Drosophila melanogaster: one gene and its partners. The protein of the gene in region 1 purifies or fractionates together with the protein of each later gene. This does not show direct contact. Each region holds a gene or a part of one and is shown in the gene's direction. Other genes may lie near its edges.

The links.
Region 2: the proteins of Arf4 (region 1) and Mcad purify together in Drosophila melanogaster (affinity purification with mass spectrometry, with the first as the bait; one large-scale study listed by BioGRID). This does not show direct contact.
Region 3: the proteins of Arf4 (region 1) and deltaCOP purify together in Drosophila melanogaster (affinity purification with mass spectrometry, with the first as the bait; one study listed by BioGRID). This does not show direct contact.
Region 4: the proteins of Arf4 (region 1) and rb purify together in Drosophila melanogaster (affinity purification with mass spectrometry, with the first as the bait; one study listed by BioGRID). This does not show direct contact.

What each region holds. Positions count from the first base shown.
Region 1 is NC_004353.4:1,121,594-1,126,001, forward strand, and holds Arf4 (ADP ribosylation factor 4), read left to right. Parts: upstream 1-2,573; 5' UTR 2,574-2,671; coding exon 2,672-2,738; intron 2,739-2,842; coding exon 2,843-3,105; intron 3,106-3,174; coding exon 3,175-3,300; intron 3,301-3,356; coding exon 3,357-3,443; 3' UTR 3,444-3,732; downstream 3,733-4,408. UniProt on the Drosophila melanogaster protein: GTP-binding protein involved in protein trafficking; may modulate vesicle budding and uncoating within the Golgi apparatus.
Region 2 is NT_037436.4:7,717,384-7,722,560, forward strand, and holds Mcad (Medium-chain acyl-CoA dehydrogenase), read left to right. Parts: upstream 1-1,966; 5' UTR 1,967-2,056; coding exon 2,057-2,074; intron 2,075-2,515; exon of another isoform or gene 2,516-2,676; coding exon 2,677-3,033; exon of another isoform or gene 3,034-3,093; coding exon 3,094-3,978; 3' UTR 3,979-4,089; downstream 4,090-5,177. Other genes in the region: CG7457 (uncharacterized protein), read right to left, coding at 4,515-5,177.
Region 3 is NC_004354.4:1,858,379-1,863,789, reverse strand, and holds deltaCOP (coat protein (coatomer) delta), read left to right. Parts: upstream 1-1,999; 5' UTR 2,000-2,192; coding exon 2,193-2,195; intron 2,196-2,304; coding exon 2,305-2,344; intron 2,345-2,410; coding exon 2,411-2,634; intron 2,635-2,691; coding exon 2,692-3,104; intron 3,105-3,165; coding exon 3,166-3,363; intron 3,364-3,419; coding exon 3,420-3,733; intron 3,734-3,807; coding exon 3,808-3,919; intron 3,920-3,976; coding exon 3,977-4,271; 3' UTR 4,272-4,649; downstream 4,650-5,411. Other genes in the region: Gcna (germ cell nuclear acidic peptidase), read left to right, coding at 1-21, 85-763, 830-1,087, 1,147-1,462; Lamtor5 (late endosomal/lysosomal adaptor, MAPK and MTOR activator 5), read left to right, coding at 4,888-4,922, 4,993-5,054, 5,112-5,229, 5,384-5,411.
Region 4 is NC_004354.4:4,534,579-4,542,463, reverse strand, and holds rb (ruby), read left to right. Parts: upstream 1-1,837; 5' UTR 1,838-2,158; coding exon 2,159-2,800; intron 2,801-2,860; coding exon 2,861-3,689; intron 3,690-3,754; coding exon 3,755-4,978; intron 4,979-5,032; coding exon 5,033-5,820; 3' UTR 5,821-6,829; downstream 6,830-7,885. Other genes in the region: CHOp24, read right to left, coding at 408-557, 913-1,247, 1,320-1,461.

The sequences.
Region 1 (4,408 bases):
AATAATCAAGCCCAAATATATTTATTTTGCTGAAAGAAAATGATTTTCATATTGAAATGCAAACACCGATTTAAGCAAAAATACCACAATTGTTTTGTTTCTTAAATTAGTGTTCTTCCTTTCTATTATTTTTAAAAGCATTAAAACTACATGAACTTACATAAATATATTGTACATATGTGTATATATTGAAGATTATATTTTATATTTTCCCAAAACTCGTATCAATAAATCTTTAAAAATCATGTACCTAGTAGATGTTTATTTTCCGTTCTTTAAGATAAAAATAATAATAATATAATACATTGCAATTTTATACTCTGTGATGACACATTCGACTTTAGAGTAGTTTTTCTTTCTAATACGTGGTAAAATAAGACAAAGTTTTGTCGTGTGTAGGCCCTACACCCTTTCGCAGTTTTTATACAATATGTTGAAAACGCGAAAACGAAATTCGACAAATTTTTTTGTTGCTTAATAAATTTTTTGCAGACACATAAAATTATATTTATTTCTGAACATTTTTTTAAGATTACACAGTCTTGCGCTTCAAGGGCTCTTATGAAAGGATAAACAATGAATGAATTTTGAGAGAAAAAGAAACGTTCAAGGAAAAGAAGTATTACAGAGTTCAGTTCATAATAATAAAAAATTAAATATTGGTTAAGCCGAGATTTTGTTTTATACTTTGGAAACACTTCTTCTTTCAAAGCACTCAATATAAATTTTCCTGATAATTTATTCTGGAAAGTATCTAGAAAACAATCCTGAGTAATGTTTACGAAAGTATTGTAATATAGTCTCGGAATATATCCAGAAGACATTTAGGGAATGCTTACAGAAGCTTTTCACGGAGTTCCTACAGCACGGGAAGTATGAAAGAGCCCGGCAAAAAGGAACACCAAATTTCCTCCTCATGAAACCACTTCCACTCGAAAAAGAGTATCGAAAGTGTTCCGGAATAATTCCACTACCGTCTCGGTGCTTCTCTACTTTTTTCGTTGGTACAATACAATAGAAAGAATGTAACCAAAGCAACAAGAATTACGGCCAATTTTTTACGTTAAATCAAAAACTTTTTAAAGTTGTTGTTGGTGTTAGAATAAAATAGATAAGTTATTCAAATTGGTTCGGATTTTCTTTAATTATATATATGTAGGACAGAAAGTGGAAAGTCTGGGAATTTTAGTAGCACTTTTTTTTAGTTAGTCTCATTTTTTGTTGATTAGCTTACAGCTCCAAAACACATTTTATTCGAGGACCGTGTATAAACTCTAGTTCCCGTGACTATATATGATTAAACATTATAAAATGTACCACAGTGAAACTGATTGTTGGATTACATATATGTATTACATTAGTATATATGAATATGCATGGATGAGAAAATCTTGTGTATGTGTTGTATCCAAGAGATACACATTCTGTAATGAACTTGGATTGCCTAACTGAACGAATAGCGAACCTATCCGAAGGGAATCATGCGTAACCTAAATACTTTGATTATAACTTTTACATATGCATAGATTTAAATCGACTCAAATATGAAATAGTACAAGTTAATTAGACGGGGCACATTAACAAAATCTCAGAAAATAATTTTTTTTGTTTCATTACATAGTTTCTTACTTTTGTCAGCAAAATAATTACTTGTGACGTTTGAAAAACTAGTTGTAAGTTTAAATACAGAAGTCAATACACTGGAAACGTTTATCCGACATTTTCAGATCCTTGTGTGGAAGTGGTTAATACTTGAAAAGTGATTAAAAAAAACAACATATAAGGCCCTGTGGAGACTATGCTCTAACATTTTAATCGAATTTTAAGTGATACCATGGTTTGTTTAAAAGGAAAGTTAAGGGGTGCTTACGCTGTTTTGATTTACAAATGACTGGAATTTTTGGGTAGGATATTTTCATATATAGATATTTTGATTCCTTGATATCCCAAGACTCAACATTTTTTTTTTATTTTTGATCAGAGGCAGAATATTTATGTTGTTAACTATTGCAAATCGCAACCAAAATATAGTGATTGTCATTTATCTTGGCCTGATATCGACATATTGGCAATAGCAGACCTTTGATTAATAAAAATGTCTTAATTTTTGGTTAATAGAGAGGAAGAACCTAAGTTTTTTGTTTTCAGGCAGCTTTATAGTGTTTGAAAAATTTGTAACATCGTTTTTAAATTTGATTTTTAAATTTGATTTGAAAAAGTTGTTTTGGCAATTAGAATTCGCGAATAATACCATAGTCCTACAGAGCACATTCGTAAAAAACAGTTGTGATTTTTAAAAATTGTGTAACTCCGAGTCTAAGTTATATGCTCACTAACCCCTTGGGGGCAGCCTTTCTAGGTCAATTTAAATATTTCACTTAAAAAATGTACACGAAAATGGTTTTATCGACATTCGACTTAATGGCGCAGTCAAAACATTGTATTATCGATGTAGTTTTGTGTTTCTTTTTATTGTTTTCATCAGACCATGCTTAGGGTATAGTCAACATACTGTTATTAGTATTTTATAGAAAACAGTATTTTTAACCATCGTTTAACTTTTCTGAAAAGTACAGCATTATTAATCGAATGACTAGTTTACACGTCAATTTACTGAAGTTACTGAAGACAAGCTTTTTCCTATACGAAATAAAATAGTTTCTTATTAAACATGGGACTAACAATATCTAGTCTTTTGACACGTTTGTTTGGAAAAAAACAAATGCGTATTCTTATGGGTATGTTCAAAATACGATACACTAAATATAAGCCTTTAGTTCGCGCATAATTTTTAAGTACTTGCAATCAACGTGCACATAATTTTAAATATTTTTGTACGCAGTTGGCTTGGATGCTGCTGGAAAAACGACTATTCTGTACAAATTAAAGCTGGGTGAAATTGTAACCACCATACCAACCATAGGCTTCAATGTCGAGACTGTGGAATATAAGAATATATGTTTTACCGTTTGGGATGTTGGTGGCCAAGACAAAATTCGCCCGTTGTGGCGACACTATTTCCAAAATACACAGGGTCTTATATTTGTAGTGGATTCCAACGACCGCGATCGTATAACTGAAGCTGAAAGAGAACTACAGAACATGGTACTCATTTTATTTAATTAAAAGTATATACATACGTGTCAACCAATTCCATGTTTATTTTTCCCACAGCTCCAGGAGGATGAACTTAGGGACGCGGTACTTTTGGTTTTTGCCAACAAACAGGACCTACCGAATGCAATGACAGCTGCCGAGCTTACGGACAAGTTGCGCCTTAACCAATTAAGGAATCGCCACGTATGTCTTAGGGGTAATTGTCCCAAAAATGTTTACTTATATCTACCCATTTTTAGTGGTTTATTCAGTCTACATGTGCTACCCAAGGGCACGGTCTTTATGAAGGACTTGATTGGCTATCAGCTGAATTGGCTAAAAAATAAAAATATTCCTTATATTGTAAGATAGGAATTGCTGTTCTCGTATGCTGAAAACTAGATTTTAAATAAACTTGTAAATGTATATAAACTCGTTTGGAACTTTGTTGTAAATTTAAAATGTCCACGTTTTATGTGTTGGTGAGAAAACTGCACTTGCCTTAGTTGTATTTTTAAAAATTAGTGATCGGATAACTAATAAAAATATATTTTTAACTTACTTATTCGGGAAAATATATGTTCGTTTTTTTATTAGTATGCCTCAATACCATTACCAGAATTCAATCAAATAAACATATTTTTGATTCGTACTCATTTATGTTAATTCAGTTTTTAATAGCCACCAGATTTGTTGAAAACTACGTAACTGTTAGCAGAAGCGTTTCCGACCTTAGAAAGAATATATATTCCTGATCAGGACCAATATCCGAGTTGATCTGGGCATGTCCGTATGAACGCCTCGGTCTCAGGAACTATTAAAGGTAGGGAATTGAGATTAGACATGCAGATTCTATGTCCGTATGAAGAGAACTATTAAAGGTAGAGAATTGAGATTAGACATGCAGCTTCCAGAGGTATTTACGGAGAGAAAACTTTTGATATTTTAAAATATTTTTATTAGTCTTGTAACCCAAAATCCCCAAAACCCCCCACCCAAAATCGCTCAAACATGCCGAACATTCTTAAAAAATTGGTTATTCTTATTGAAATCTTTCACACTTCCTGCTGAGTAAATGGTATCTGATTCTCGTGGAATTCGAGAAAGAATTCGACAAAATATAAAACTATGAAAAAATATCGAAAGTTTTTTAAAAATGTGGTCGAGGCCGTTTTGGGTGGTTTTATTGCGTTAGAGTGCGAGTGGCCAAAATTTTTTTTGGCAAATCGATAGAAATTTACAAGACTAATAAAAATATCAAAACATATTTCAAAAGTGTGGACAGTTTTGGCCAGTTTGTTTGCGTCAAAAT
Region 2 (5,177 bases), on another chromosome or scaffold:
TGGGGCAGTGCTCGTGCTTGTTGGGATGGTGGTGGGTCTGTTGCTTGTGGCTGGCACCACCGTTTGCTCCTTCATGGTGGAAGATCTGCTCGTGCTGATGCTGGAAGTACTCGTAGTGACCGACATGATCCGGATGGTGTTCCGTTGGCGGTGAATGGATCCTCGACGGTGGGCTGTGGTGCTGTCCCTTGGCGGCGTGGCCGGAGGTGGTGCTATGATGCGCTGCCTGCTTCTGTGAATGGCCACCTGCTCCTCCATGATGACCACCGCTGCTGGTATGATGACCATGTCCGTGGGCATGATGGTGATTGTGGGTTGGCGGCGAGGGCATGTTGTGGCCGCTGTGGGGCAGATGCGACGAGTGCTGCACACCCACCTGATGTCCGTGGTGGTGAGGAACATGACCTTGGGACGCCTCCATCAGCGTTGGCTGGATGTGGGTCACAAACTGGGCCATTTTGCCGCAACCTTCAACTACTGCTCCCTTTTTGTTGTGGTTTCTTTGAGGTTTGGGCTTAGGTAACACTTGTTTAAAATTTCACTCCTCTATGAGGCGGTTTTTTTTTTTGGGAAGGCGGGGGTGGCACTTTTATATGTATCCCAAAAGTGGGAGTGGGTAGCACAAAAAAACACACACTACGGCTGGCTTGCGGACGAGTTGTGGGCGACGGAGGATTTGGGCTCGGACCGTGGACAACCTTCTCGCAGGAGCAATGTCAAATGACTGACTAGGAGCAGCTATCCCAGTTGGGCCTTAGACGCCACAGGACTCGCCACCCGCCATCGCACCACCCGAACCACTTCGGCTCCAGCTCGGCTGTGCGCGTTCGTCCTCGTCGTGGCGGAAGAGCTTTAACCGGACCCAGTTTTATGCGCCTGGCCTGGCTGATAAGAGATACCACTCGCTTCAACGGCTGATTACGACTTTGGATGGCTGCGGATGCTGATTTAATGATGTCTTCGTGCCGCGCCACGTAGTGCTCTGTTTTTTATATCTGCCTGTCAACTGTGTCACGGATTTCCAATTCGTTTCGCTGGAGATTTTTTTGTCGCTGGGAGGCGGGGCTGCAATCTGTTATTTTTAAAACAGCCAGAGGAACATGTTCCGTCTATTTGTGTCAAGCGGGAAAGTATGCTCCGATTGTTAAGCACCTAACAGGTGGCAGCGAAGTCTAACGACTAGGGACTATCCTGTTGGTTCTTATTTTATTATTTAACATATCAAATCATGTTTTAAATGTTTTGAATATGGAAAAATGGGGTTAAAAAGTTAAAGCGAATGAAACCTATAATTATCTAATTGTCTCTACATTTTATTCTAAACTAACCAAAATATAGTATATTACTATTTAATATGAATTATCCCTCAATGACCTCTGCCGACGAACATTTTCAAGCCTAATATACCCGATTGTATTATTTTATACCTATTGCCCAGAAGCAATACGTTACGTTGTGAACTGAAAGCTTTTACCTTACGTAGATTGCTGGGCATTACGTTAAAGCTATGTTTTATTAAGCTTATTTCGTAGGGTATTTCGTGTGGTACATTGATATCTTAAAAAAGGGGGTGTGTCTCTTCATACACATATGCCTATGTACTTGACAAAACCTGGATGAAATGTACAGTTGGTATTTTAAAAATATTTTACAATACAATTTATTTATATAAGCATTATATTACAATTAAGGCGAGGTACAAACAAATTTGTTAACTCTTCGAAAAGCTTTGGGAAAGTTCCATCAACAGCGCATACAAATGTCTGCGAAATCTTCCCTTATCTCAACCTCCTGCATATATTTGTAGGTGCATATGCTTGTAGTTCGTTCGTCACCACGATTCTGTAGCTTTTGCGACTGCCAGCGCAACAAGGTCCAATGTCCAAGCGTCGCTGCCATATCGCGATGAACCAATGTACATATGTATGTACATATATAACATCGCTATACCGGCGCATCGGCAACTCGTTTGGATCATTTCGCTGGCAGCCACCGACGAGTTAGCAAGGCGACCTAGTTAAAACTCAGGAAAATACGAAAATAAACCCACATTCAAATGGCGTTCCTCAACAAGGTGAGCATATCAGTCAATTTACAACGCAGAGAAAGTGAAAAACACATCGCTGGGACATATCATATCCAAAGGTCCAAAGTTCTATCACGCTAGTGACGACAGCAACTGTTGATCGTAGGATCATACATACATATACATATGTACCTACCAACAAACATATATTCGAGTGGGTTCCGTTTCGAAAACAATTTGTTGCTGCCTATCTGTTAGCAATCATCTGTACTTTGCCCCCCCTGAGAAAGTATTATTAGCGGCGTCTAATGGCGGCTTATCGTGCACTCTATTTAAATCGGAATGCAAACTTTATGGGCAGGCATATTCGTTATCTGTTTTATGAAAAAAATAGAATGTGATGGTTGGTTATGAACCTCAAACATCCAAAGTCCCTTGTAAATATAAAAAAAACCTTCGTCTATGATCATGATGTTGTATTAATTAAATACATACGTAGTTGGCCCATTTTATTTGTTGCTTGTAGTTAAGATTAATTCGCGGTCAACTTTGTTGTTGTTCTGATTATTTCTACATTTTCATTTTGCATTTCGATAAACACTTGTTTACCAGTTGACTTTAAATCCGATATCCAATATCCGAAAATCCAGCTTGCTGCGCCTGCCCTGCGCCAGTTGGTGTCCCAAAGTCGCGCCTACGCCGCCGTGTCACACGTTTCGCCCAATGGCACCTCTTTCGCACTCACCGAGGATCAGCTGCAGCTGCAGGAACTGGCACGTAAGTTCACCCGTGAGGAGATCATCCCGGTGGCCGCCCAGTACGACAAGAGCGGCGAGTACCCGTGGCCCATCATCAAGAAGGCCTGGGAACTGGGCCTGATGAACAACCACATTCCTGCTGATATTGGTGGCCTGGATCTCGATGTGTTCACCACCTGCTTGTCGGCCGAGGAGTTGGCCTATGGCTGCACTGGCATCATGACCGCCTTAGAGGCTAGTGGTCTGGGCGTAAGTTTAAAGTCATGTCTATTTACGGCAAGATGATCGAAACGCCACGTTCTTTCATAGCAAACTCCTGTGATCCTGTCCGGTAACAAGGAACAGAAGAAAAAGTACCTGGGCCGCCTGCTGGAGGAGCCACTTGTCGCCGCCTATTGTGTTACAGAGCCCGGAGCAGGATCCGATGTGTCCGGCATCAAGACACGCGCCGAGAAGAAGGGTGATGAGTGGGTAATCAACGGCCAGAAGATGTGGATCACCAACGGTGGTGTGGCGAACTGGTACTTTGTGCTGGCCCGCACCAATCCGGATCCCAAGTGCCCGCCCAGCAAGGCCTTCACCGGGTTCATTGTGGAGCGCGACAGTCCCGGACTAACGCCCGGCCGCAAGGAGTTGAACATGGGACAGCGCGCCTCCGACACGCGTGGCATCACCTTCGAGGATGTGCGCGTGCCCAAGGAAAATGTGCTGATTGGCGAGGGTGCCGGTTTCAAAATTGCCATGGGCACCTTTGATAAGACGCGTCCTCCAGTTGCTGCCGGAGCTGTGGGTTTGGCCCAGCGTTGCTTGGATGAGGCTCTTAAATACGCGCTGGAACGCAAGACCTTTGGCGTGCCCATCGCTTACCACCAGGCTGTGCAGTTCATGCTGGCTGATATGGCCATCGGTGTGGAGACATCCCGTCTGGCGTGGCGTCTCTCCGCCTGGGAAATCGACCAGGGACGCCGCAACAGCTACTATGCCTCCATTGCCAAGTGCCATGCCGCCGATATGGCCAACAAGATTGCCTCCGATGCCGTCCAGATCTTTGGAGGCAACGGCTTCAACAGCGAGTATCCCGTGGAGAAGCTGATGCGTGATGCCAAGATCTACCAAATCTACGAAGGTACTTCTCAGATCCAGCGCCTCATCATTTCCCGAAACATGTACGAGGCTGCTAAGGGTCAAGCCTAAGTCAGTTTTAACTAGGATTCCTCATCTCCATTCACCTCATCAGTTGTCATGCTCATTGTAGACACATTCACAAATCCGATTAATAAAGTACAATAAGTAAATAATTACAAGAAAATATAAATCATTGATTGTGATTTGTCTGTTGAGGGAAATGTTGTATAAATGGCACTTGGTAATTTCTAAGGAATTACTTATTCCTCAAGTGTATAAAAGGAAGGAAGAAGTAAGCAAACAGTCAGTGCGTTAGTATGTTTACTAATTCTTAATATTTCAAGTTTCTCTAATCTTGCCCTCACTTACCCCCAAAATTGTAGAGTCTAGACCATCGCAAATTATTTCGCTAGCTATCATCCATTGATAAGATAAGCCCTGTGGGGGCTGAGTGTTTGTTCTACTTAGGTTCAACGAATCGCTGTTCTGCTATCAACTGAACGATAAGACTTACTGTACTTAGATTTGCTATATAATTGTCAAACAATAAAAAATGCTCTGGGACATACAACACAAGGAAATGGTTTACACATGATGAGACTACACTATTCCGCATCGCTTCCATCAGCGAGTAGCTTAAGTAGACCTTTGTACCGCCTTCCAATTTTCCGGCTATTTGATGTGGTCAACATTTTGGCCTTGTCTCCAAATTGCAGCTGCCAAATGGACTGAAGTGTTTCCAGGGCTCCTGGCATGGAGAACACCTGCTCATCAACTGTTAATTCTAAGCGCCTGGGCAGCTGCTTTAGTTGTTCGAGTTTTTGCAGACGAATGTCATCCAGTAGATTTGTACAATTAACGGCCAAAAGATCGCGTAATTGAGGTAGTTCATCTAATATGTATCCAAGAGTAGTTCCACTTAAATTGCTATTATCACTGATATCCAACATCTGTAGTTGTTTGGCTTTGGCCAAATGCTGGCTGATATTGTACATATGCGCATCGTTCAAGCCGCAGCCAGCGAGCTGCACTCCGACAAATCGCTCGCAGGTACCACCTTCGAAAAGCGTAACCAGGCGCTCACTCAACGCAAATCCACTTGCATCGTCGAGGGGCCAGCGCACATAACTGAGATTCAATTGCTCCAGCCGGCAACTATTCAGTTGATCCGTTAGCCGACGCACACTCTGCTGTGTAAGTTGATTAAAGCTGATATCAAATCGCGTCAACTTATTGAATCCCAGGTCAAAATCCTGCAGTTCCGTCAG
Region 3 (5,411 bases), on another chromosome or scaffold:
ATCCCGACCAGGACTCGCCGTGTAAGAGTTGATATTAGTATTTTAAATGGCTGACTTAAATGTTTTAGTAACTCATTATTCTAGCGCCAAAATGTCACCGTCGCCTGGACGACATACTGCGATCATGTCGCGCCAGCGTTAAGGCTAAACTTCCTGCCACTCCTGTGCAGCAGCCAAACATTCGTCGCCAACTTTTTACCCCTAACGCAGGATTCGAGAACGATAACCAAGCTAAGGAGATAGTAAACAGGGCGTTGGACCTGGACATGCTGGATGAACTGGAGAGCGACTACCTACCCGGGACTCCAGTCCACAGGAGAGTGCAGGAGGTAAAGAAGAAGCTTGGCATTGGGCAGCAAGGTCAGACAACGCCCCACGAGAGCCCAATTCTCAAGTTGCTTACGCCAAAAACGGCTCCGCCTAAAGGCACTGCTCCGCCCAAAACATCTGCACCGCCAAAAGTTTCTACCCCCCCAAAATCCACTAAGCAGATTCCAAAACCTAGGAAGCAGAAGGATCTCTCACCCGTTGCGAGCGGCGGCAAGTGCGGCTTTCTGAAATCCCTGGAGGGACAAGTGAGCCGCGATAGGGCGGACAACGAGGCCTTCTTCTATCGGGAAAACTTCGCAAGAAATAAGGATCAGCTGGCCCAGCATCTTTACAAGATGTATAACGCCCAGGTGTTCAACAACGAGCTGGATGTGCCCATCACCTGGTCCAAATTGCTGCGCAACACTGCCGGCCGGTGCATGAACAAGCGCAAGTGGGTGATTCTTATAGAGACAACCAGATATCCTCCTTGAATTCGATAAATATATATTGTTTGCAGACTTAACCAGCGTAGCAGCGTGGTGGAACTGAGCGTCAAAGTGCTGACTACCGCGGACCGCCTGCGTTGCACCTTGATACACGAACTCTGCCATGCTGCGGCCTGGGTATTCAATGGCGAGGGTGGACACGGACGGGTGTGGAAGATGTGGGCACAAAGAGCCAACGACAAGTTCCCCGATCTCCCGCAGATCAAGGTCTGCCACAACTATAGCATTGAATTCAAGTATACCTACAAGTGCCTGAGCTGCGACAAAGCGTAAGTTCTCCCAAGTGATAAAAAGAATATTATTGTCATGCAGTTTTTACGCATCACAGGTCACATGCCCATTCCCGATCCCGCAAGGTGGAAGATTTGCGCTGCAGGATCTGCCGGGGACCCATCACCCTCTTCCTGAACAAAAAGGACAAGCAAGGAAACACCGTATCCACGCCGGCGGGCGAGGCGAAGGGATTTGCTAAGTTCGTTAAGGACAACTTCCAGAGACACAAGCGCGACAACATGACTGCCGCACAGGTGATGCGCATCCTGAGCGTGGAGTACGCCAAGCAGAAGGGTCAGCCGGCGGAGGAGACAGCGGCGTCGATCGCCAGCCGAGTGGAAACGCTGACACTGGACGAGTCGTCCAACTAGCTGGGTTCTCTTTTGAGTTTTGTTAAATTATGTGCTCCAAGCCCTAAACCATTTTTGGTATATCATAGACAATTTGAAAAACTTAACTGAGATCTCAGTTCGTGCGAAGTAGTAGAAGTAGTATATTTTGTTTAATGTATTATATATTTTCTTAACCAGAAACATGGTTTCCATTAAAATTAAACGGACATTTAAAAGCTAGTGCTGTAAAGCTCGATTTTGCATAGCCGGTGTCGGCCGGCGGTGTTGGTAAAGGCGATGCTTGGACTCATTACTTACAGTGAAAGAGTATGTCTGTTTATGTATGTTAATATATGCCTAATACAACCTATTAAATAATTGCTTTGCACAATCTTGAAATGTTAAATTCTACACTGGTGAAAAGTGAGTAGTGCGGTGTACTTGCTAAGGCTAGACACAACAATTTTCTAGATGGAGTAGCAAAAAAAAAAAAAAAAAATGGCAGGGTATCCACGGGCCTACCTCCTACCTTGGCCCAAGGCGTATTAACACTGTGTTTCCGCAGTGGCGCTGGTCACACTACCCGAACTCACACAAAGCCACGGTAAACATTTGTCGCAGAACCGAACACGTCAGCTACGGGGATTGATTGTTAAACAACGTTTCTATCGCCCCGCAAATCCGATCCGTAGCAGCAGTCCATCCTGCGCCGTCCGCATCCGATCCGCGAAGTATTTTCCAGGGCAAAAACGTCAAACGCAGCAGCAAAATGGTAAGAGCCCCGACCTACGCACGCACACACCTACACGTCGGCGATTTTGGGTCTCATCGGCGGGGGTTATTGCATTCCGGTATTATCACTAAACCTATCCGACTTGCAGGTATTAATTGCTGCGGCTGTCTGCACGAAGAATGGCAAAGGTAAGTGGCTTGCATGCACCGCAAGAAATAATCACTTTAGCTAACCCGTAACGTTTGTACACGCAGTGATTCTGTCACGTCAGTTCGTCGAGATGACGAAGGCACGCATCGAGGGACTGCTGGCTGCCTTTCCCAAGCTGATGACTGCTGGCAAGCAGCACACTTACGTGGAGACGGACTCCGTGCGCTACGTCTACCAGCCGATGGAGAAACTATATATGCTGCTCATCACCACTAAGGCCAGCAACATTCTGGAGGATCTGGAGACCCTGCGCCTCTTCTCGAAAGTGGTGAGTTGCACACGGATGTACTCAAGCCGCAGTGTTAATCAGGCCCATCGCTTGCAGATTCCCGAGTACAGCCACTCGCTCGACGAGAAGGAGATTGTGGAGAATGCCTTCAATCTGATCTTCGCATTTGACGAGATCGTGGCACTCGGCTACAGGGAGAGCGTCAACTTGGCCCAGATCAAGACCTTCGTGGAGATGGACTCACATGAGGAGAAGGTCTACCAGGCAGTGCGTCAGACGCAGGAGCGTGATGCGCGCCAGAAGATGCGCGAGAAGGCCAAGGAACTGCAGCGGCAGCGCATGGAGGCCAGCAAACGGGGTGGTCCCTCCCTGGGTGGCATTGGCAGCCGCAGCGGCGGCTTTAGCGCCGACGGAATTGGCAGTAGCGGCGTGAGCAGCAGTTCCGGTGCCTCCAGCGCCAACACCGGCATCACCTCCATCGATGTGGACACCAAATCCAAGGCGGCTGCGTAAGTTCTTTCTCTGCTCTATTAAATCTAGGCTCCTGACTCATTGCTCTGATTTCATCAGCAGTAAACCAGCTTCCCGCAATGCCCTCAAGCTAGGTGGCAAGTCCAAGGACGTCGATAGTTTCGTGGATCAGCTGAAGAACGAGGGCGAGAAGATTGCCAATCTGGCACCGGCGGCGCCCGCTGGAGGTTCCAGTGCTGCAGCTAGCGCCAGTGCAGCGGCCAAGGCAGCTATCGCGTCGGACATTCACAAAGAGAGGTGGGTTTCAGCTCGATTGTATAGTTAGTTATTAAATGCATAACATCTATTTTCAGCGTACATCTGAAGATTGAGGACAAGCTAGTAGTGCGTCTGGGACGCGATGGTGGCGTGCAGCAGTTCGAGAACTCGGGCCTCCTGACGTTGCGCATTACGGACGAGGCCTACGGACGCATTTTGCTGAAGCTGTCTCCCAACCACACACAGGGCCTGCAGTTGCAGACCCACCCCAACGTGGACAAGGAGCTGTTCAAGTCGCGCACTACCATCGGACTAAAGAACTTGGGCAAGCCGTTTCCCCTTAACACCGATGTGGGTGTGCTCAAGTGGCGCTTCGTCTCGCAGGACGAGTCGGCAGTCCCGCTGACCAGTAAGTTCATCCAAACCCAAACAACTTCTTCCCTCTCGCTCAGCCACGTGCTTGTGTTTCTCCCTTTTTCCCAGTTAACTGCTGGCCATCGGATAATGGAGAGGGTGGATGCGATGTTAACATTGAGTATGAACTGGAGGCGCAGCAGCTAGAGCTGCAGGACGTGGCCATTGTCATTCCCTTGCCGTAAGTGTAGTAATGGCGTAGATGTGCAGGCGATTACTTATTCCATTTCACCCTTAGAATGAATGTGCAGCCTTCGGTGGCGGAGTACGACGGCACCTACAACTACGATTCACGCAAGCATGTGCTCCAGTGGCACATTCCAATAATCGATGCCGCCAACAAGTCCGGTTCTATGGAGTTCAGCTGCAGTGCCTCCATTCCCGGTGACTTCTTCCCCTTGCAGGTGTCCTTCGTCTCGAAAACGCCGTATGCGGGCGTCGTGGCCCAGGATGTGGTGCAGGTGGACAGCGAGGCGGCGGTCAAGTATTCAAGCGAGTCCATTCTGTTCGTGGAAAAGTACGAGATCGTGTAGGCCGCGCCGCTGGCCACGCCCACCTAAGTAGTACATAAATATACATAATTTCCCGGGGTCATCCGATGCGATGCAATTAATTCAACTGCTGCAGCATGTTGAGAATTATTTTTCCATGTGCGAACTTTACATATTTATGGCGCAGACAGCTTCTCAGAGCGAGTAATTGATTCCAAAAAAAAAAAAAAAAACACCATCAAAGCCAATTAATTAAACTAATTTTGTGCACTCCGCTGCGCTGCATATAACGGTATCAAATAAATTAATTGCAATTAGTTGTAACTGGCGATTGCAGTGTTTTGTTTTGTGTGCTTCGTCGCACCCCTTCGATTTGAGTAATTTGTATGTAGATTGCTATGAATAAACCATATACAATATACACCAAAGTGGATTGTTTCTGGATTCTTAACTATAAGCGAAGGTTATCCCTTTTTTTTAAACTAAAAACTAAATATTAAATTTGAGTCACTTTTTTTTGCAAGTAGTACCCACTGTGCATGGATTCTTAACGCCCGGCTTATTGGTATTGCCGTCTTCTCGGCGAGCGGTCACACTGGTCATTGTTTTGGTTCTGTTCTTGCTTTGTTTTTTCACTGCGGAAATAACGACGTCGTCCATGGAGCAGCAACTGGAGAAAGTCCTAGCGGAAATGTAGGCACACTCGATCCGTCGATTCCAGATAGTACTCCAAATAAACCACAAATCCATAACGTATTTTCAGCGCCGCACGGCAGGACACAGTGGGAGCTCTGCTGGCCAATCGCCAGGGATTGTGTTTGGGCAGTGAGTATCGATGATTAGTCAGTGGCCGTGCCGTAATGCCACAATACATTTTTGCAGCCAAAGGAGACATTGATCCGAACGTGTCCGGCATCGGAATGGCCATTTCCGAGCAGGTGGCCAAACTGGAGCTGAATGCCACGGCTCCTGCAACGATTTGCCTTTACAGCGGAAACAAGTAAGTGGGAGGAGGGATATGAGGGGCTGTATCTAGGTGGACTAGATACGGACTACTCTTGGAATAGTCGGAATAGTTTAAAGAATGTACCTTAAACTATTTATGAATTATATTTCTGCTGCGTATTAATTGACACCCGTTTCTTTCCCCGCAGACGCTGTGTCATCCAGAAGGACGGCGAG
Region 4 (7,885 bases), on another chromosome or scaffold:
ATTTCGAAGTTGCAAACAAACTTTTCTCTTGTCAACCTACATTTATTAGAAAACAAATGGTTCTTATCAATTTAGTTCGAAAGTTCACAAGTGTCTCTTCCCCCCTTGAATGTGTGTCTGAAAATATTTGCTGTTCTGTTTCCATTAAGAGATATTTGGTAATTAAAAAAAAATATATATATTAATTTCTCTAATATAGCAATCTCTGTTAATAATTCTCGAAACAGAAACATGATCGACATACTTTCAAGCACTAATTACTTTTTACAAGGTATTTTATTTAAATTACAAAAGGATGTTAATCATTTAAATTAAATCTGAGACTGCAACGCATTGCGCACACATTTCCCCCAGAGCTTCGTGTGCCGCCTTCCTTTGCTACTTCCATCCTGGTTTTCCGCTCGGGATTACACGACGCGCTTGACCTCGAAGAAGCGTTTCAGGTAGTACACCTGGCCCACTGTCATCAGGACCAGGACGAGGGCTTCGAAGGTGGACCACAGCACCACTCGCGAGTTGGTGTTCTCGTTCACCGAACGATGGATCTTGTCGCGCACCTGAGGGAGTAAAGAAATTGGAGGATTAGTCGTGGATTACTTCACAAATAATGTCAATACTGATTATAACCGATGGTGAAAACATGAGTGTTTGAAAATCGCTACTAGTTATTGTTTATGTGGCAGCTAGCAGCTCCATTCCCTCGAACAAGTCTACCGACTCCGCTCTTAAATCTTGCGACGTGGATCTGTACAAGTAATGCTGGAGGCATGCCAGACTATGTGGCAATAGTTACTCGATTGCTCCCATATTCCATGTACCCCTAATTCTGCTACATGTTAAACTCTTCCAAAACCCCCAATCATGATTATGTGGCAGCTGGATGCTCCATCTTCACCTCGTCTCTTCACTCACATGCATGTACTCCTGTTCGTGCTTGACACTGGTCAGCGTGCCGGAGAGCTCCCGAATCATGTCCTCCAGCTTGGTGTGGCCCACCTCCTCCTCGCCGGGTGCTCCGGGCGCACGTTGCGGTGCGTCACCCACGTCGATGGAGAACATGACCAGCTTGGGGGTCATGCTGCTGCGTTCGTTGTTGAAGCACACGGTGTAGGTTCCCTTGGCGGGGGCCACAAAGGTGTACTTGCCGGACGACTCCTTTTCGCTCTCGTGCATCACATGGTTATCCGGGCCGCTGATCTTGATGTCCACGTCTAGGAAGCCACCGTCGATCACCTCGAAGGTGACGCCTGTAAAGTCACCATCATTTTATCAGCATAGATCCCTTGTCAATTGACCGAAAATCCATATCGCTCACGTACCAAACTTGGTGCCGCCTTCGACGTTCTCGAAGAAGCACTCCTCATTGTGGGCGTCCACGCTGACGATGAAGGCGTGGCTGGTGCGGCACAGGATCAGCAGGCTGCCCACAAGGAGCAGCACCTTGGCGAGTGTCGATTCCATCGTTTGTCTTAGTACTTTTGGCCTGGTTTTAATCGCTATTAAACGCACTGCAGCCACGTAGTTGTAGTCGATTCGATATACTCCGATAGATGTAGACAAATAGGGCATATCGAAGAACAGCAGTTTCCGATAGATTCGGCATCGATAGGTGCACGCGACACGCGATACCGAATTTTTAACGGATCACTACAAAAAACTCACAACTCATAAAAATTCAAAAGCAACATGAATGCCGCGAAATGTTTCGGTTAAAGTATTGGATATCGTAACTAATACATTACTTTATTTATGTGCGTACCTATATGAAAAACTCTTGGTGCATTCCATCACAGTTAGTTAAAGTGTTCTAGTATTTTTGTGCTATGTGTTAATCGGCGACTATCGACAGTTGCCCACCATTAGGAAACAGAAAGCTAAAAAAAAAAATGCAAAAATTGGCCAGAATTTCGGCATAAATAATAGTATCCCTTGCAAAACTTGCAAGCTGCGTGGCAGGACGAGCAGCTGACCACCAGATCGTCTTGAGGATTCAACATCAGGAACAAAGGTTTCACATTGGACGCATTTGCAAAAACCGAAAGGGAAAACTGCCAACTCCCACACACAAAAAAAAAGGAAAAAAAAAATCATCAGCACGGAAAGTAAAAGGTCAAGTGGTCAACCGAAATCTGGGTAATCCGGGGGAATCTTTGCAAGAATGCAGCAGAACTCGGCCAGCAATCCCTTCGCCATGTCCACATATGTGGAGCGGCCCCAAATGGGACTGGACGTCGAATTCGGAGCGGATCCTGCCAGCGGAGCAGCTTTCTTCCAATCCGATGGACGCAAGCATGATGATCTCAAGCAAATGTTGGACAGCAACAAGGATGGACTAAAGCTGGAGGCCATGAAGCGCATCATTGGCATGATTGCCCGCGGACGGGATGCCAGTGATCTGTTCCCGGCAGTCGTCAAGAATGTGGTGTCCAAGAATATCGAGGTCAAGAAGTTGGTCTACGTCTATTTGGTGCGATACGCCGAGGAGCAGCAGGACTTGGCCCTGCTATCCATTTCCACATTTCAGAGGGCGCTCAAGGATCCCAATCAACTTATTCGCGCCTCGGCTCTGCGAGTGTTATCCTCCATAAGGGTCAGCATGATTGTGCCAATCGTAATGCTGGCCATTCGGGATAGCGCCGCCGATTTGAGTCCATATGTGCGGAAAACAGCGGCACATGCCATCCCCAAGTTGTATTCTCTGGACGCGGATCAAAAGGATGAACTGGTCATGGTCATTGAGAAGCTTTTATCGGATCGCACTACTCTAGTGGTGGGATCAGCGGTGATGGCCTTCGACGAGGTGGGTCTGCAGCTAAAGTAAAACATTTATCCTCTATATACGACGGATCTTTATTCGTAGGTTTGTCCGGAACGTGTAGATTTGATACACAAGAACTACCGCAAGCTGTGCAATTTCCTGCTGGATGTGGACGAATGGGGTCAGGTGATCATCATTAATATGTTGACCCGCTATGCGCGCACTCAGTTCGTTGATCCCAATGCGGATGATGAGGATCTGGTCAACGATGGCCTGGGCGAAACGCCCGTTAGTGAACGCTTCTACGACGAATCCTCGCACTCCTCTTCCCACAGCGATGATGGCAGTAGCGATGACGAAAAAAACAAGTCGAGTACGAACAATAAAAACAATGGCGGAGGAAATGGCAGTAGAACACCCAGTTCTCCGAGCAACAGCTACCACATCGATGTGGATCACCGCCTGCTGTTGAGGCAAACGAAACCATTGCTCCAATCGCGAAATGCCTCCGTGGTGATGGCAGTGGCGCAGCTCTATCATCATGTGGCTCCCAAGAACGAAGTGCAATTGATTGCCAAGGCGCTGATACGACTGCTGCGATCGCATAAGGAGGTTCAGAGCGTGGTCCTCAATTGCATTGCCTCGATGTCCACCAAACGAAAGGCGATCTTTGAGCCGCACCTCAAGTCGTTCTTTGTGCGCACCAGCGATCCCACGCACATAAAGCTTCTCAAGCTGGATATTCTCACCAATCTGGCCTCGGCGGGCAGTATTTCGCTCATTCTGCGCGAATTTCAAACCTACATCTCCAGCAGCGATCGTTCGTTTGTGGCGGCCACGATTCAGGCCATTGGACGATGTGCATCTAGCATTAAGGAGGTTACCGAGACCTGCTTGAGTGGCCTGGTTCATCTGCTGTCCAATCATGACGGTGCGTTAAGCTTTCTTTTAGCCATTTGTATTTTAATTTTATAAGTATTCCGTTATTCCATTTAGAACACGTGGTGGCCGAGAGCGTGGTGGTGATTAAGCGTCTTCTGCAAACGAAAGCCGCCGAGCACTTTGAGATTATCACCCAAATGGCCAAACTGATCGATTATATCAATGTGCCCGCAGCTAGGGCAGCCATCATTTGGCTTATAGGCGAATACAACGAGAAGGTGCCGCTGATTGCCCCGGATGTGCTGCGCAAAATGGCCAAATCGTTTGTCGATGAGCAGGATGTGGTGAAGCTGCAGGTCCTAAACTTAGGCGTTAAGCTCTATCTGACCAATCCGGAGCAGACATCGTTGCTGTGTCAGTACGTCTTTACGCTGGCTCGCTATGATCCCAACTACGATGTACGCGATCGTGCCCGTTTTCTGCGGCAAATCATCTTTCCGGCGAGCGGAACGAGCTCGGTGCTCAGCCAGCATGCCCGCCAAGTATTTCTCGCCAGCAAACCGGCTCCGGTGCCGGAGAGTAAATACCGGGATGGCAATAACTTCCAGTTAGGATCGTTGTCTCACTACCTGAACATGCCAGCGGCTGGCTACAAGGAACTGCCCGCCTTTCCGGTGATTCCACCGGATTCATCGGTACGCAATATAGCTGGATTTATGCAGGACAAGCTGCCGGGTGAAGACTCGCCATCCGGACATTCAAAGGATAAATCCGGCCGTGAAGGCGGTAAGGAAAAGGGTGCTGGTGGCGAGAAGGGCTTCCTCTCTGAGTCGGACGACAAGTCTTCCGCTTACTCGGAATCAGGCAGCAGCAGTGGCAGTGGCACCAGCGACAGTGAATCCGATAGCGATGGCAGCGGGAGCAGCGATGAGGAGGAGGAGGAGGTGCAAAAGCAGCAGCCGACCAAGGTTTCCTCGGTGAAGGAGCGGCTTATCGATGCTGGAAGCAATGAGCTGGCCGCTACTTCTTCGCCTGTAAAAGCAACTATAAACAACAATAACAATGCGAGAGGTTCGTCAGGAACATCGGACAGCGAGGATTCATCAGCGTACAGTGGCAGTAGTAGTGATGACAGCGCTTCCGGTAGCGATAATGAAGTGAAAAAGAACGAAACGAAAACGGACACAGGCACAAAGCCGGAGAAGTTGAAAGAGAAGCACGAGAAACAGCCGGAGCAAACGGCTGTCAAGAGCAATCTGGACCTGCTACTCGATCTGGATGACATTCCGCCCATTGGTCCCGTGATGACGCCCTCGTTGGGAGGATTCCTGACGCCTGGTAAGGTGATGCGCATCTCTAAATTGGCCTCTTTATATAATAATTCTTCAATAGGCACACCAATGATGGCTGGACAGGCGGCGCCACTGCAGCCGCAGCACGCCCGCAATCGGGTGGAATTGGTGGGTCCCTCGCACATCGAGTTCAAGCACAAGGAGCTGCTTAACAAGGTCAGTGGCCATGGACTGCATTTGGCCTACCGTTTCACCCGCTCCCCGCATCTGTACTCCTCGAGCATGTGCTCCATTGAGCTGCAGTTCCAGAATCGTGGCGAAAAAGAGATTACGGCCATTCGTCTCGGGCAAACAACTCTGCCGGCGGGCATGCAATTGAATGAGTTTGCGCCAATCACTGTTCTCCAGCCCCAACAAACAGCGAGTGGTGTGCTGGGCGTCGATTTCAATGATTCGACGCATGCTGTAGACCTGGAGCTTCTGTCAAGTGCGGGCAGTTCACGACTGCAATTGAAACCGCCGGTGGGCGAGCTGGTGAGATCCGTCCAGATCGGCGAGAGCTGTCATCGCGAGGAGCGGGCCAAGCTGCGTGGAATGAATGAGCATCAGTGCGAGTTGCGTGGCCTGAGGCAGGACCTAATCGATGTGGTCGCATTGCGGCAAAAGGTTTTCGAGTCCATCAACGTGGCGCATACGCACAGCTCTTCCAGCGGTCAGCTACACTGTTTCGCCGGCCAAACCCTGAGCTCCAAAAGCCTCGTGCTACTCACCCTCGATTGGAAAACAGAGGATGCCCTCACGCTGCTGGTAAACTGCGAGAAAATGGTCATTGGATCCATGGTGCTCAACGAGCTGCGCAATGCTCTGCAGCTCAGTTTCGCCATGTGAGCGATGGACACGAAAGCGAACAAGACGAAAGCGAGCAGCGAACTAACTTGAGGAGTGGAATCCCCTGGAGCAGGGCTACTCAACTGAGAATAAGGCAAAGCCGCCTCACTACGTAAACATAGCATTCATATTTAGCTATACACTTGTAAACGGGCGGGGAGAACGTAATCTTTGAAATTAGCTGATAACATTAGCTGAGATTACAGGTGTTTTAAATTCCATTTTCGAGAGATTATATGTAAATGTGCAGTGTAACAGATGCAACTTAAGTGTTCAAGTGGGATCGAAATCCAAAACTAATTTAAATTGCAATTTCAACTGTAATTATTACATATTCTTTAACTTGTTGAAAACTGAATGAAAAGTGATGCAAACTATTGTGTAAATGCTACAAAACTATATTTATTGTTATACACATTCGCAAATTCTTAATGAAACTTATTGAAATGGGAAACACACAACTTCCTATATATTTGTATCCGCTTATACTGAGATATTTTGCATAAAAGAGTCACCATTTCCTTTTATGAATGGATGAACACAACATGAGATTAGTGTAGCTTTCATATCCAAATCGAAAATTATTCAAGGATTACCAACCGCCCCGCCCAAATATAAATGAAACATGATCCTAACGCTTTTAATATTCCTATATACAAACTGCAACCACAAACAATTCCAGATGAAATGAGATGTTACAATTGATTGAACTCGAATCGTTGCCGATCCAAACAAATCCTATCCTCCAATCCATCCTACTTAGCTAGGCGTGTGTGTAATGTGTGTATGAGTAATCGAAACGTATTTGTAAAGTGTTTGATGTTGTAAATCTGTTGCCTTCGTGCTCTATGCGGCCTTCTTCAAAACGTAGCAAAGACAAACGAATATCGAATCTATATATTATATATTATATTCATACAATAAACAGCGCAAATTCTGGCAAATTAAAGTGAACAAATGAAACGTATTCTAATAAAGAAACAAATCAATCTGTTAATATGCCTGAAACAAATAAGCTGAATCTCCGCATTGAAAAGCTGAAATAAAAGCTTACATTTTAAAATTGAGAACGTCTTACCTGTTTTGGATAAACGAATCAAGTTTAATACACGCTCGCACATGTCAAGTAAAAATGCTTTTTTCAAAAGTTTTCAATTATTTTGATGTTTATTCACGCTTGTTCTTGTTACTTTCTCCACTCACCAAACAGAATATAAGAAGTCAGCAAGGACAAACTTTCAAATGCAAAAGAATCGAATCGAATTCTAATTAGTTCAATTCCTTAAAATTCGAGTTGATTTCTGCATTTATGTATCAATTTCCTGCTGCTGTCGCTTGAAAGTCGGGATTGCTTCAAAATAGCTCCGTGGGAAATTATAGAAGGAGGTTGGACATACTGACATGCTGGGTTATAGAACATACATAACTCATTCCTCAAATCCTACGCTGCTTTCTCCAAATCCAACTGTGTTTTAGGTGTCGGTGTCGGTGTAGTTGTAGCTGTATTTCCTTGTGTTCTAATTTGGGTTCTGCACAATTAAAAAGCTCAATTTCATGCTTATCAATATAAACGAGTTAGTTAGATCGCTAGGTTAGTAATGTTTAGTTTAGTTTTGGATTCGCTGCTGCACTTAAAGATCTCAAGTAGTAGTTTTAGTAGTTGTAGTTTTCGGTTAGGCTAGGCTTTAAGATCAACGGCTTGAAAGTTCCGAGTGATAAGTGAAGAAATATAGGGTTTTGGGGATGCTATATAATGTATGATTAGGGGATAGATAGCATGTATGTATGTACGAATAGTACGAGTATGTACGTATGCATTAATGTAATTTTTGGGTAATATGGCATGGGTATATGTATGCTGTAATAATGGGTTGTGAGTAGTTCTTGACAGGCATATAGTAGAGCGTTTGTATATAGTGTCCTGGGGTAGTATCGTTCTCTTCTCGTTTTCGCTATTCTGTATACACGTTATATAATATGCCACGGCCTTCGTTCGCTTAACTTCATATAAAACTAGTTTTTTTTTTACCATTTTTTTTTTGTTTTGTTTAGTTTTCTTTCTTTT